Linked DNA regions of Arabidopsis thaliana. The protein of the gene in region 1 interacts with the protein of each later gene in a pairwise test. Each region holds a gene or a part of one and is shown on either strand. Other genes may lie near its edges. The genes, in order: UVR8 and RUP1.

What was found.
Region 2: the proteins of UVR8 (region 1) and RUP1 interact in a two-hybrid assay, tested with the Arabidopsis thaliana proteins (3 studies listed by BioGRID, with this or other methods).

What each region holds. Positions count from the first base shown.
Region 1 is NC_003076.8:25,553,690-25,561,192, reverse strand, and holds UVR8 (Regulator of chromosome condensation (RCC1) family protein), read left to right. Parts: upstream 1-1,693; 5' UTR 1,694-1,777; intron 1,778-2,208; 5' UTR 2,209-2,605; coding exon 2,606-2,699; intron 2,700-2,886; coding exon 2,887-3,073; intron 3,074-3,264; coding exon 3,265-3,411; intron 3,412-3,623; coding exon 3,624-3,705; intron 3,706-4,096; coding exon 4,097-4,252; intron 4,253-4,659; coding exon 4,660-4,833; intron 4,834-5,038; coding exon 5,039-5,110; intron 5,111-5,350; coding exon 5,351-5,422; intron 5,423-5,555; coding exon 5,556-5,674; intron 5,675-5,857; coding exon 5,858-5,943; intron 5,944-6,034; coding exon 6,035-6,087; intron 6,088-6,291; coding exon 6,292-6,372; 3' UTR 6,373-6,777; downstream 6,778-7,503. UniProt on the Arabidopsis thaliana protein: UV-B specific signaling component that acts as a UV-B photoreceptor and plays a key role in establishing UV-protective responses in plants.
Region 2 is NC_003076.8:21,214,822-21,218,871, reverse strand, and holds RUP1 (Transducin/WD40 repeat-like superfamily protein), read right to left. Parts: upstream 2,101-4,050; 5' UTR 1,975-2,100; coding exon 817-1,974; 3' UTR 521-816; downstream 1-520. UniProt on the Arabidopsis thaliana protein: Functions in association with RUP2 as repressor of UV-B-induced photomorphogenesis mediated by UVR8 and HY5, likely in coordination with DHU1.

The DNA.
Region 1 (7,503 bases):
GAAGATGAAGAAATAAGAACCATCTTAAATCTCATGTAGTTCTTAGTTTCTTGGTTCCTACACGTCTTATTTAAACCTAAATCTTGTAAGATTTTGCTCTGTTTTGTCAGGTTAGCCTAAATCTTGAGAGGTCAAACTTGCAGTAACTTTCATTGTATAGAATTGCTTTTAACTGAATGATAAATCGAGTAGTAGATTAGTCCAATGGAAGTTTGTGGATCAAGTTATGTGTCTGTCGGCATTATAGTTTTCCTTTGAAATATTGACACATTACTAGAATCTTATCCAACAAAAAATTGTGTGGTTATGAAAATCCTAAGTAACGAGACAGCTTATTAAATGCCGAATTTGGTAGCAATTTGTTCAGATGAATGTATGTCTTCTTGTAAAAGACAGTATGAAGTGGAGGTTGATGCTAACTATCTTATGGTTCCTTATTGCACTTTGAAGCATTTATTGCAATTGTTTTCGGTTTTTTCTCTTGAGTGGGCTAAACTAATAATGGTCTGTTCTTTCTCTAAAGAGAGAAGAATTCGACAGGAGCGTGAAGCATCTTCATTCGCAAATATAACACATTAAAGCTACCTCTAGCATCATCTGTGTGATTCTCTCCAAGGTCATTCGTTGTCTGTCACGGGGCATCTCAAGTAATAAAGCTTAAAGTTAACTGTCTTTTCAGCCAAATAGTTTCATCATCTAAATATTCACATGATCTTCCATATTTCATCACCGATTATGGTTACAACATTTTTGCAAACCCTAAAATTTGTGTTATCGCCAAACTTGACCCTTATACCGGAACCCATGTGGGTGGGTGTTGATTTTTACTGTTTTGTAATTTGTTCATCGACAATCATTGACATGTACTCACCGCAATGTTTTTTCTTTCCTAGTTTCATGTGCATATATGTCTCTAAACAGTAATTGTTTAGCACTTCATGTCAAGCTTAAATTATTATAGGTGTCTTATCTTGTCTCTCTAGTATTTTCTGTTGAAGTCATGTGCATTAAATTGTATATAGTACTTCCAATGGCTTTCATATAATTTCCATTTTTCCACAAATTGTTCGTAATGATGTTTATTTAACAAGATTATAAAAGATAATGCAACAAATTTGTGTGATGAATGATGAGATGAACCCATTTGAAAGAGGTCGCAACAAATGTCAACATTAGAGACCATCTTGATCTAGAGTTTTGTCTCGTTGACTTTAATGCCAAAATTGGACAATACATATAATGCATGTATCAGGCAATGCAAAAATATCTTCATTCATTTAATTTTCTTACTATAATAGATGTCACAACTTCCCTCACTGACAAGCATATAATGTTGGTTTTATCTCAATGTAAACAACCTTTTAGTTTCACATAAATGTTAGGTCGAGCGAGGTGATATATTCGTTCCAGATCGGATGAAACAAGTAATTCATCGATGTTACCTTTATCCATATGTATATGTAAGATTATGGGTTTTAGGTAATCTAGTAAGTACTACTAAGTAGTATCCGTATGTAATTTTTTATTTATTTTTATCCGTTATGTATAATTTCTTTGGCCGTTTTCGCAAAATCTATATTTGGATGTTTTAGATCGTGAATTGATATATCTTAATTTGAATATTTAGGTATTCATATATTTTGAATCTATAGTTGACCTGTTGACCATGTATTTTGATTTGAATATCTCGCTCGATCGATAGAAGATTTTTTTTTGTTTTTGTTTTGTTGATAGTAGAATCTTCAAGTTGTAATTTAACAAAAAAAAAAAAAATCAAGTTGTAAGTAGACCGTATATCTGTATATTTCCATATGTAGAACCATGCATTTTGAATAATTGAATAAAATAACATGTAGCAAGACGTATCTTCATATGATAATCAGAATCATAATAAAAAGACAAACTGTACACCATATTGTAATCCAGGTTTAATTTGACCTCTTTGAAAAACTAAAATAGCTGAACTGAATATTTATAACTAAAAAGACAAATTGGATATGTCACTTTGGACTATGAAACTCAGAATTTTTTTTGACTAACGTGTATACTTTCACACGTGTGCATGACTAAAAACATATGATTAGGCTCTTACGATCTATGCGCCTTACACCTGTGAATGATGAACACATAAAACACAAGTTACGATCTAGAATGTCATGTGTACTGGCTTAAATCTACTTATGTGAAGAGGTAAATGAAATGGTCAAGAAACAAAAAAAAAAAGAAATGGTGAAATTATGAAAGTATAAAACTTTACCGGTGAGGTCCGTATTTGGATTTATTAAGTGAAGAGGGACCCTTTTGCAATTAAAGCCTGTACGACAAAAAAGAGATTTACTGTACGGTTAAAACAAAAAATAAAAAAACCAGCAAAAGTAAAAAAGTCAAAAAGCAGATATATGACATGTGCAAATCTCCATCGCGCCTTTATTACCATCTACCGCTTTCTCTCTCTGTCTTTCCTTGTTCAACCCTCGAGAGATTACGGATAGTGAAAGAGAAGCTACAAAATTTCCCAATTTATCAAAAAATAGAAATTTCTTACTTTTTTCAAAATTCATTTCTCCCCAAAAAAAATATCTTGTGAAAACTGCAACTGTGATCCATGGCGGAGGATATGGCTGCCGACGAAGTTACGGCTCCTCCTCGTAAGGTTCTTATCATCTCCGCTGGTGCTAGCCACTCCGTCGCTCTTCTCTGTACGTCTCTCTTCTTCTTCGCTGTTTTTTTTCCTTTTCTATTACGGACTCAAATAATCACCGGAATTGTGAAATCCGCTGCTTTAGTAGGCTGTGCTCTTCGCGAATTCTCTTGATCTGGCCTTTAATCGAGTTTCCCTTACTTTCGTCGTCTACTAATGAGTAGTTTTATGTTTTGATTTTGTAGCTGGTGACATTGTTTGTTCTTGGGGTCGAGGAGAGGATGGACAGTTAGGTCATGGCGATGCAGAGGATCGACCTTCTCCGACTCAGCTTAGCGCTTTAGATGGCCACCAAATTGTTTCCGTTACCTGTGGTGCTGATCACACTGTTGCTTATTCACAATCAGGCATGGAAGTCTACAGTTGGGGATGGTTTGTTTCTCATCATTATCTTCTTCTTTGCTGCTGAATCAATTGCTCTTCAGTCTGTTTGATATATTCGGGATGAGATGATGACCACTAGTTCCTCTCTAGATTTTTGTGTAGAAAACAGTAACTAATTATACACTCATTTGCACATATTTTAAGCCTCGTGTTCTCTAACCTTTATGTGTACTTTGCAGGGGTGATTTTGGGAGATTAGGCCATGGTAACTCAAGCGACTTGTTTACTCCGCTACCAATCAAAGCATTGCACGGTATTCGGATCAAGCAGATTGCTTGTGGGGATAGTCATTGTTTGGCTGTCACTATGGAAGGAGAGGTCCAGAGGTATTTTCTCTTTGTTATTGTTCTTCTCCTTATGTGCAATCATTTACAGTTTACATCTCAGCTCAATTAGATGAATTTCATCGGAATTTGATAATGTCGATTGCGTCCTGTGTCATTTCTATATATCTTGGTTATTGTGTACATTGCCTTTTAAACGTTTTGTCTGTCTTGTCTTGTTTTCCAACATATCTCTTTGACTTCTGTTTATACAGTTGGGGCCGCAACCAGAATGGTCAACTTGGTCTGGGGGACACCGAAGATTCTCTAGTGCCTCAGAAGATTCAAGCCTTTGAGGTTTGTATCACTAAATATTCTTCTAACATCTTTTTTCGTTGTAGTTTCCTCAACTTGCCAAATACTATGCTTCAGAATTGGGTCAATGTTGGGTCTATTTCTGCAACTTGATCTTCTTAAACATATGACTGTTACTAGTTAAGGGTCCACATCTGGTGAAGATGTCTTCAGAATCATAATTTAAGTTACATAATTTTAGGAGTGGTAGATACTAAATTGGATGTCTATGTGTTATACTATCTGCAAAACACAGATAGAAGGTAGGATCTTATTGATAATTTATCGGACTAGGTAAACTAGAAGATTAAGTGATTAGAGACCCTGAGTTTATGTTGTTAGTTTCGCTGATCTCCATTGTTACATCAACACTTTAAACTTGTAATGGGTGCAGGGAATACGAATCAAAATGGTTGCTGCTGGTGCAGAACACACTGCTGCAGTTACAGAAGATGGTGACCTCTATGGATGGGGCTGGGGAAGATACGGAAATTTGGGATTAGGTGACCGGACTGACCGCTTAGTTCCTGAAAGAGTTACCTCTACTGGTGTAAGCTAGAAGACTCTTGTTCTATAATTTTTGTTTAAGCACCTGCTACTTGTTTAAACTTGCATTTGAAGTTCAGTATACGTGAAAGAAATCGTGAATAGCTCAATATGCACTGCACTATTCTGGATTAGCTGTCTATATTGATGGAGTCACACGTATATGCAGTCTAATTTCAGTTGGTGGGTGTCAGGGAAGTGACCATAAAACTTTTAGAATGATCAAAGTTTGGTATCCTGAATCTGCACAGTTCATGAAATGAAATTTAGTTCATATAACATTGATATCACGCAACCTCACCTTTTTACCAACTTCTATTTCTGCATTTTAGTCCCTCAATTTTTTCCTTAATTCTCTTTTCATTTCGACTCACTTGACTCTCGTTTTCCTGGTTGTAACTACAATTTTAGGGTGAGAAAATGTCAATGGTTGCTTGTGGATGGCGGCACACAATATCAGTTTCCTACTCTGGAGCATTGTATACTTATGGATGGAGCAAATATGGACAGCTAGGACATGGAGACTTGGAGGATCACCTTATTCCTCACAAACTGGAAGCACTGAGCAACAGTTTTATCTCCCAGGTTTCACTTAGGCCTTATAAATCTGTCTTGAAATACAAATTTGTACATCTGAAATATCCAACATATGGGATAGCAATAATATGTTTTTCGAAAACTTTCTGACAACTATTACCTACTGAAGAAGACTGGCTTCATTGTATGTACTTCTGTTGGTTTTCTTCTTCTGTTCGACATCTTTTGGACTTACTGTTCGTTTCTTTTCCAGATTTCGGGAGGTTGGAGACATACAATGGCATTGACTTCAGATGGAAAACTATATGGATGGGGTTGGAATAAGGTCTAGAATGTCTTGCTTTTTTTTTTTTTTTTTCTGGCCTATATTTCGTAGAAATGTATAGAACACCTATTTTCATCTACACATTCACTGATATTTGCATTTAGTTGCTTTATGCTGTTAAGGAGTGATATGCATTCACTTAGATGTTATTTTAAGAAAACAACAATGCATATATTGGGTAACTTTAGTAACTCATCTTGAATAAAACAAACTTCTAATTGTCTCTCTTTTAGCCTGCAGTTTGGACAAGTAGGAGTCGGCAATAATTTAGATCAGTGTTCTCCTGTGCAAGTGCGATTTCCCGATGATCAGGCATGTTATCCCTAAAAAAGTTTAACGAGAAAGCTCGTCCCAATGTTTTACCGGCTATATAATCATATTAATAAGTTCATGTCTCAATTCGCTGTTTTCTTTTCCAATGCACACATATTGTGGAATTTCACAGAAAGTAGTTCAAGTCTCATGTGGATGGAGACATACCTTGGCTGTCACTGAAAGAAATAACGTGTTTGCTTGGGGTAGAGGTACAAATGGACAGCTCGGCATTGGAGAGTCGGTTGACAGGTAAAAGTGTGATCATCTAATCGCTCATGAATCAATGTTTTCCACTTAACATATCTTGGTGTTACGAACAGAATATGAAAATTGGCCAGTAAGATCGTTGTTTCCACCAAAATCATTGCTTTTCAATCCCACTCACTACCTATCTTGATAATGTGAAATGGATATTTGGTTTGGTGTTTATAGGAACTTTCCCAAGATTATAGAGGCACTCAGCGTCGATGGAGCAAGTGGACAACATATAGAATCTTCTAATATCGATCCATCTTCAGGTATTTAAACAATACCACTAGTTAAAACGATTTCTGTAAACGACTCAACAAGTGATTAAATGATTCAACTTTTGCATTGCTTTGTTACCAGGGAAAAGCTGGGTGTCGCCTGCAGAGAGATATGCAGTTGTTCCTGATGAAACGGTAAGCCTTAATTTTGTTAATTCTACTAAACTTTATATCCAATACGTAAACTACAATGAAAGCAAATGGCACAATTATATCGGCTTAGAACCAGATTTTACTGATTAATCATTGCTGCACAATTATACCTTGCTCTGTCAAGATCGTGGATTGTTTTCAAGGATGAAATCTATGTGTGTGATTTTGAATTTGGTTGTGTGTTAGGGCCTAACGGATGGTTCAAGCAAAGGTAATGGAGGTGATATCAGTGTTCCACAAACTGATGTCAAGCGTGTACGAATTTGAGCCTGAGTCAATTCCGTTTTTTTTTTACTTCCGGTTCTTCCGTTGGATTCGAAGGTTTTTCAGTGATCTCTTTTGGGTTGAGGTTTGTACTAAGAGTACGTCTGTCTAGTTTGGGATTGTACTTTTTGTTGTTGTTGTTAGTTTGTAACTTGTGATGCTTCCCTCCCCCTAGCTCTCTTATTACATGGGCGTTGTAAACTGTGTGTACTACTACTACTAGTCTCTAGGGTATGTACTTTTTTTTTCCTCACCATAATAATACCTTCTGGTTCTATATCTTTCATTTCTTAAAAAGTTTTCTGTTTTTTCCTTCAACCATTATACAACTTATGTTTTAAGAGAATTTTCTTTTTGTCTTATTTTTTTACCGCCTATGTTTGAATTCAAATATGATATGATTGATAGTGACCCGCTGAGTTTTAGAGTATTTGAATTTTGGAAAAAAAAACAATTTTATCAATCAAGATCAAAACTTAAGAAGAACAGTGATCACAGATTAACAAGTTGAACTTCTCCTTTTTTATCAAAGTGTGAAGCGCAGATGAGAACGAGAGTAGTATGGGTATTTTAGTTTACAACTTTTGGGTAGGTTAGCCTTTAGGCCCAACACACAATGCATGTTTCGTATTTCTATATATTCTAGTCTCAATACGAAGAGTCTAGAATACGAAGAATTTCTAATGGACTAAGTGATGGATATGTCAAAAAGAAAAAAAATTGATCCTTCATCATCCGCCAACCTAGTTATGCTGCCTAATATATTTGGCGTTTAGTGAAAATTTTCTATTGGGTAAAACTTATGTGGGTGATTCTCTTTAAAGCAAAACCATCCATATTGCTCTTTTAGTGTTTCTCTTTATGTGTCGGGTTTCTTTCCCTTAAATTATTCCAAATCGATGTCACTTAGATTCGATTCCATGTTATTACCTTTTTCAGTTCCAAGTCGCCATCTTTCAAACTTTCTAATGATTCTTGATGTTTCATCCACGAGTCTTTCATTCCCACCACTTTCTTGCTTTTTTAATTTCGGGTAAATATTACTCCATATATCATTTCGCCAATCTTCTTATATTCACATACACTTATTCATACATTACGATTATCTCATGGCATTACTCCGGCAATGGACTA
Region 2 (4,050 bases), 4.3 Mb from region 1:
CCAAATATATGTCCTGACTCTTACGTTTTTCTAAAATAATTAATCTCTGAACCACGTTATTTCTTTTTATATTTGCCTGAAGAAAAAGACTTTGTTGGTCGTAACATTTGTTGACAAGAGATGTAAAACTCATCTAAAGATGGGCTATAAAGACAACCTCTGATTGGATCAGCCCAGTTTCTGGGCTACTGGAGTCATGTCATGTGGCAAAGTTTTGTTGGCCACTATGCCGTTTGGGCCAGATTTTATTTTGCATCAAACCACTATAGTTACATAATTTTAAACAACCCTCTTAACCTACATGAATGTATATGTATAAGTATTGTCTGACAAGTTTTTCTTCTCTTTTTACAAAACTAAAGAACATGACATGATTAAATGGTCAATTGATTACAAAACATATCATATCTTTTAGACTCAAAATCAATTTAGTCGTCTAAAGCTCTAGCTTAGCTATGTAAAAAAAAAAAAAGGTCCATAAACTAAAAAGATATATAGAAATAGAATTTCTCATTCAAGTGGACATTTGACTTCTCCTTGTCATTTTACAAGTCAATATATACACTCTCCTTGATACATTTTATTTATTTATTTTCTAGCGCTAATTAAAACACTATTAGAATTAATTTTCAATTCCCTACAAAATGTGTATTCGAATTGCAATGATTGAAAAAGTTCTCAATATCACTTACAATTTCTTCTTAAGAATTGTAGTAACATTCAATCATATTAAAATTAATAACTATAGACAGTATAAAATCAACTGAAAAACAGTTTGTATTAATCATGAGCAGAAAAAAATAATATAAATACTGATTAGCTTTGTTTGCCCGAGAAAATTTCTAAAGCCCCATCGGATCCTCCGGCCACAAGTGTGCACCAATCTTCATCCACTTGTCTCAAACACACACTACTAACAAACCGTCGGTCAGATCCAAACCGGTTCGTATGACCCAATCCACAAACCCAAACCGGTTCCTCCCACCTCTTATCGTACACAAACACTTGGTTATTCTCTGACCCGGACACGACCAAACCACCATGTCTCCAAACCGACAACCCAACAAAGTTCCGGCTATTCACATGCCCTCGGTACGTGCGAACCACGCGCCGTCCATTATCTATATCCCATTGCTTCAAGCTCCCGTCGGTCGAACCGGTAACGATCGTGTGAGAATCCATGAATCGAGCATACGTCACCGTTTTGGTATGGCCGTCTAATACGATCAAAGGGTCCACTAGTCTTCTGATGTCATACACGTAGGCATTCCGGTCAGCACATCCAACGGCTATGGAAGATCCACCGAACGGATCGAACTCTACCGAACAAATCGCCGCTCCACCACCGGGCCTAACCGTTTCTTCTAACGTCCCTCCGTTACGTGGATCCCACATTTGAACCGTTCCGTCGTCGGAGCCTGACGCGCCTATAAGAGAGCCATTGTAAAGCGTGTAGTCCACGCTCCAAATCCTTCTACCTCCATGCTCGTCTCTCTCGGAAACAGGCACTTGTTTCTCCACGTCGTACTCGGTGACAACTCCGTCGTAATCTCCTGACCCGATAACCCGACCGGAAAAATCGGGTCTCCATTTGAGACTACTAAGCTTCGCCGGCGTGCAAATATAGCTCTCTGAAGCTGTTACGTGATCGTCACGTGACTCTAACAAAGAGCTTAAACGATACGATCTGATCTTTCTTGCGATTCCTCCCGTAGCTATGATCTCTCCGGTAGGGTCGAACTCGATTGCTCCGATAGCGTCTGATCCGGTGGATGCGGAGGAAACAACGGCGGAAAGAGAGAGATCCCAGTCGCATCTAGGAATGTTCTCTATGTTCATGATTGTGGGAGATGAAGAAGAAGAAGAAGAGGAGGTCATGATCATTGGCCATGTATATGAAGAAGAAGAAGATAGATCGTTAATGGAAGATCTGATGTTGTTGTTGGGTATCTCAGAGCAGAACAAAGCCTCCATGAATGAGTTACGACTAGTTTTAGTTAGGTCCACACGAAACTATATTAACATCACATTCATATGTGTGTGTGATGTGTATATATAAGCTATAAAGTGGTTTGTTTGTTGACGAAAACAAAAAATGTGGGGTATATTTAAATTTAATATAAATACATATACATAGGTATCATGGTTTATCTATCTTTTTTTTTTACTAGATGTAGAAGAAACCATGTATATAATTTTAGTTAAGCCAAATATTTATAAATGGAATTTGCTAAATTCATGATACATGGAACTTTTCTTTTGTGTGATATTAAATGGAAATGCATTCACGTTATTGGTACTTGCTGTTCTCCGAATGGTTCCAACTAGAAAAGTAATTAATATATCGAAATTAGCTACATGTATTTATGTTTTTGTTCAAACAATCCAAAAAGGTAATCTATCAAAATAAGACCATGCACATGGCTAAATAACCACTAGCTCCAAATATGATCTTTGAACATTGTGGTGATTAGAAATGGTTAAGAGTCTATCTTTTAGATTGATTATGAGTTATAATCTTCATCACTCCTTAAGTTAGCTTTTAGCAACAAAAAGTTAGAGCAATGGGATATGGATAAGTATGGGAAGTACACCATGTCACCAACTTGCCAAAAAAATTCTCTTAGAAGAAAAAATGTAAAGAAACTTTTTTTTTAATTATTGGGTGCAGAGAGACATCGCATTAAAGGAAGAAGAAATGGAAACACGAGATTAGCATTACGTTAGCGTTGGTTGGATAAGAACCTCAAATTTTGAAACCTTTCCTAACGATTAGTTTGGTCGTCGTAGATCTCAACTCCTACGTGGATAATATTACACCTCTTTATTTCTGATTTTCATTTTATTTTTGAAGACAAAAGAAAGTGAATGCAAAAAGTACACGTCGATACATCGACGGTTCATTACGTTTAGAATACTATTGCTATATAATAACTACATGTGCGTTGATATCTTGGTGCATGTTTGGCTTATTTTGACGATTTCAATATCTCGTGACACTTAAGACAATAATTGTATTCATCATGACAGCTTGTAAAACGTATCTTAAGCCCATATGTCTAGGTCCAACCCAATCCATGATCGCAGAGAAGGCGATAACCAAAATTCAGTTTAAACTGATCTTAGAAGTTTTTTTTTTTTGTCGACTGAAATACATACACATATATCAAAATGGTTCGGTAATCCAAATCGATGGTGTATATAGAACTATAGGTCTTACATACTTAAAATAATGAAAATGTAGTGGTGAACAACATGCTAGCTAACAAGTTAGCAAGACAATTCTAATTACAAGAATAACAGAAAGCCAGAAGAGAGCAAATATTTGAGTCTTGCAAACCATTCCAAATATGTTGAGAAAATTGGCTAAAATGTTCAGGAAGTTGTCAATTTTCTTTTAGCTTTGAACAGTCCATTGAGATAGTTACCGATGTACTTTGATGCTTGATCATAGGAGAAAGGCTTATGCATAGATTCCTAACTCTAAAAAGAGATCCTTCTATGTCGTTATGAAAACCGATCCAACCTATATTTGAAAACATATCGAGTCTCCTTCCATCAACTATCTATAAAATCTTCACATGTTTACCAAAAAAAATGAACTATTTTATAAAACATTAATTTGTGACTTCAAACTCCAGTTTTTGTAATAAAGACCGTTGTTCAAAGGTACTTGTCTTATGTTCTTGCAGCTGTGCAGTTTCTCAAATGTATCATTAAAAACCTTATCATTACGTGCCTTCCAATGTATCAAATAATCCATGGAAAGGTTAAATCTTTTGAAGAGCCAGGTTGTTCCAAGAAAAGAATATCCAAATTTGCAAATACCGACGACACCGAAATTTCCATAGTGCTGAGGAGATCGAGCGCACATATCTGCAATGCAAGGAACACTCAGAAGAACGTGGTCAACTGTCTTCTTTGCCCCAATTCTTAAACATCGAGGATCACAATTGAATACTCTATTTCCCAATTGATATGGATTTAGTGACCAACTTAAAAACTTCCTATAGTAGTAACCAAAAGGATGAAGAGAATTTACAAAAAAAG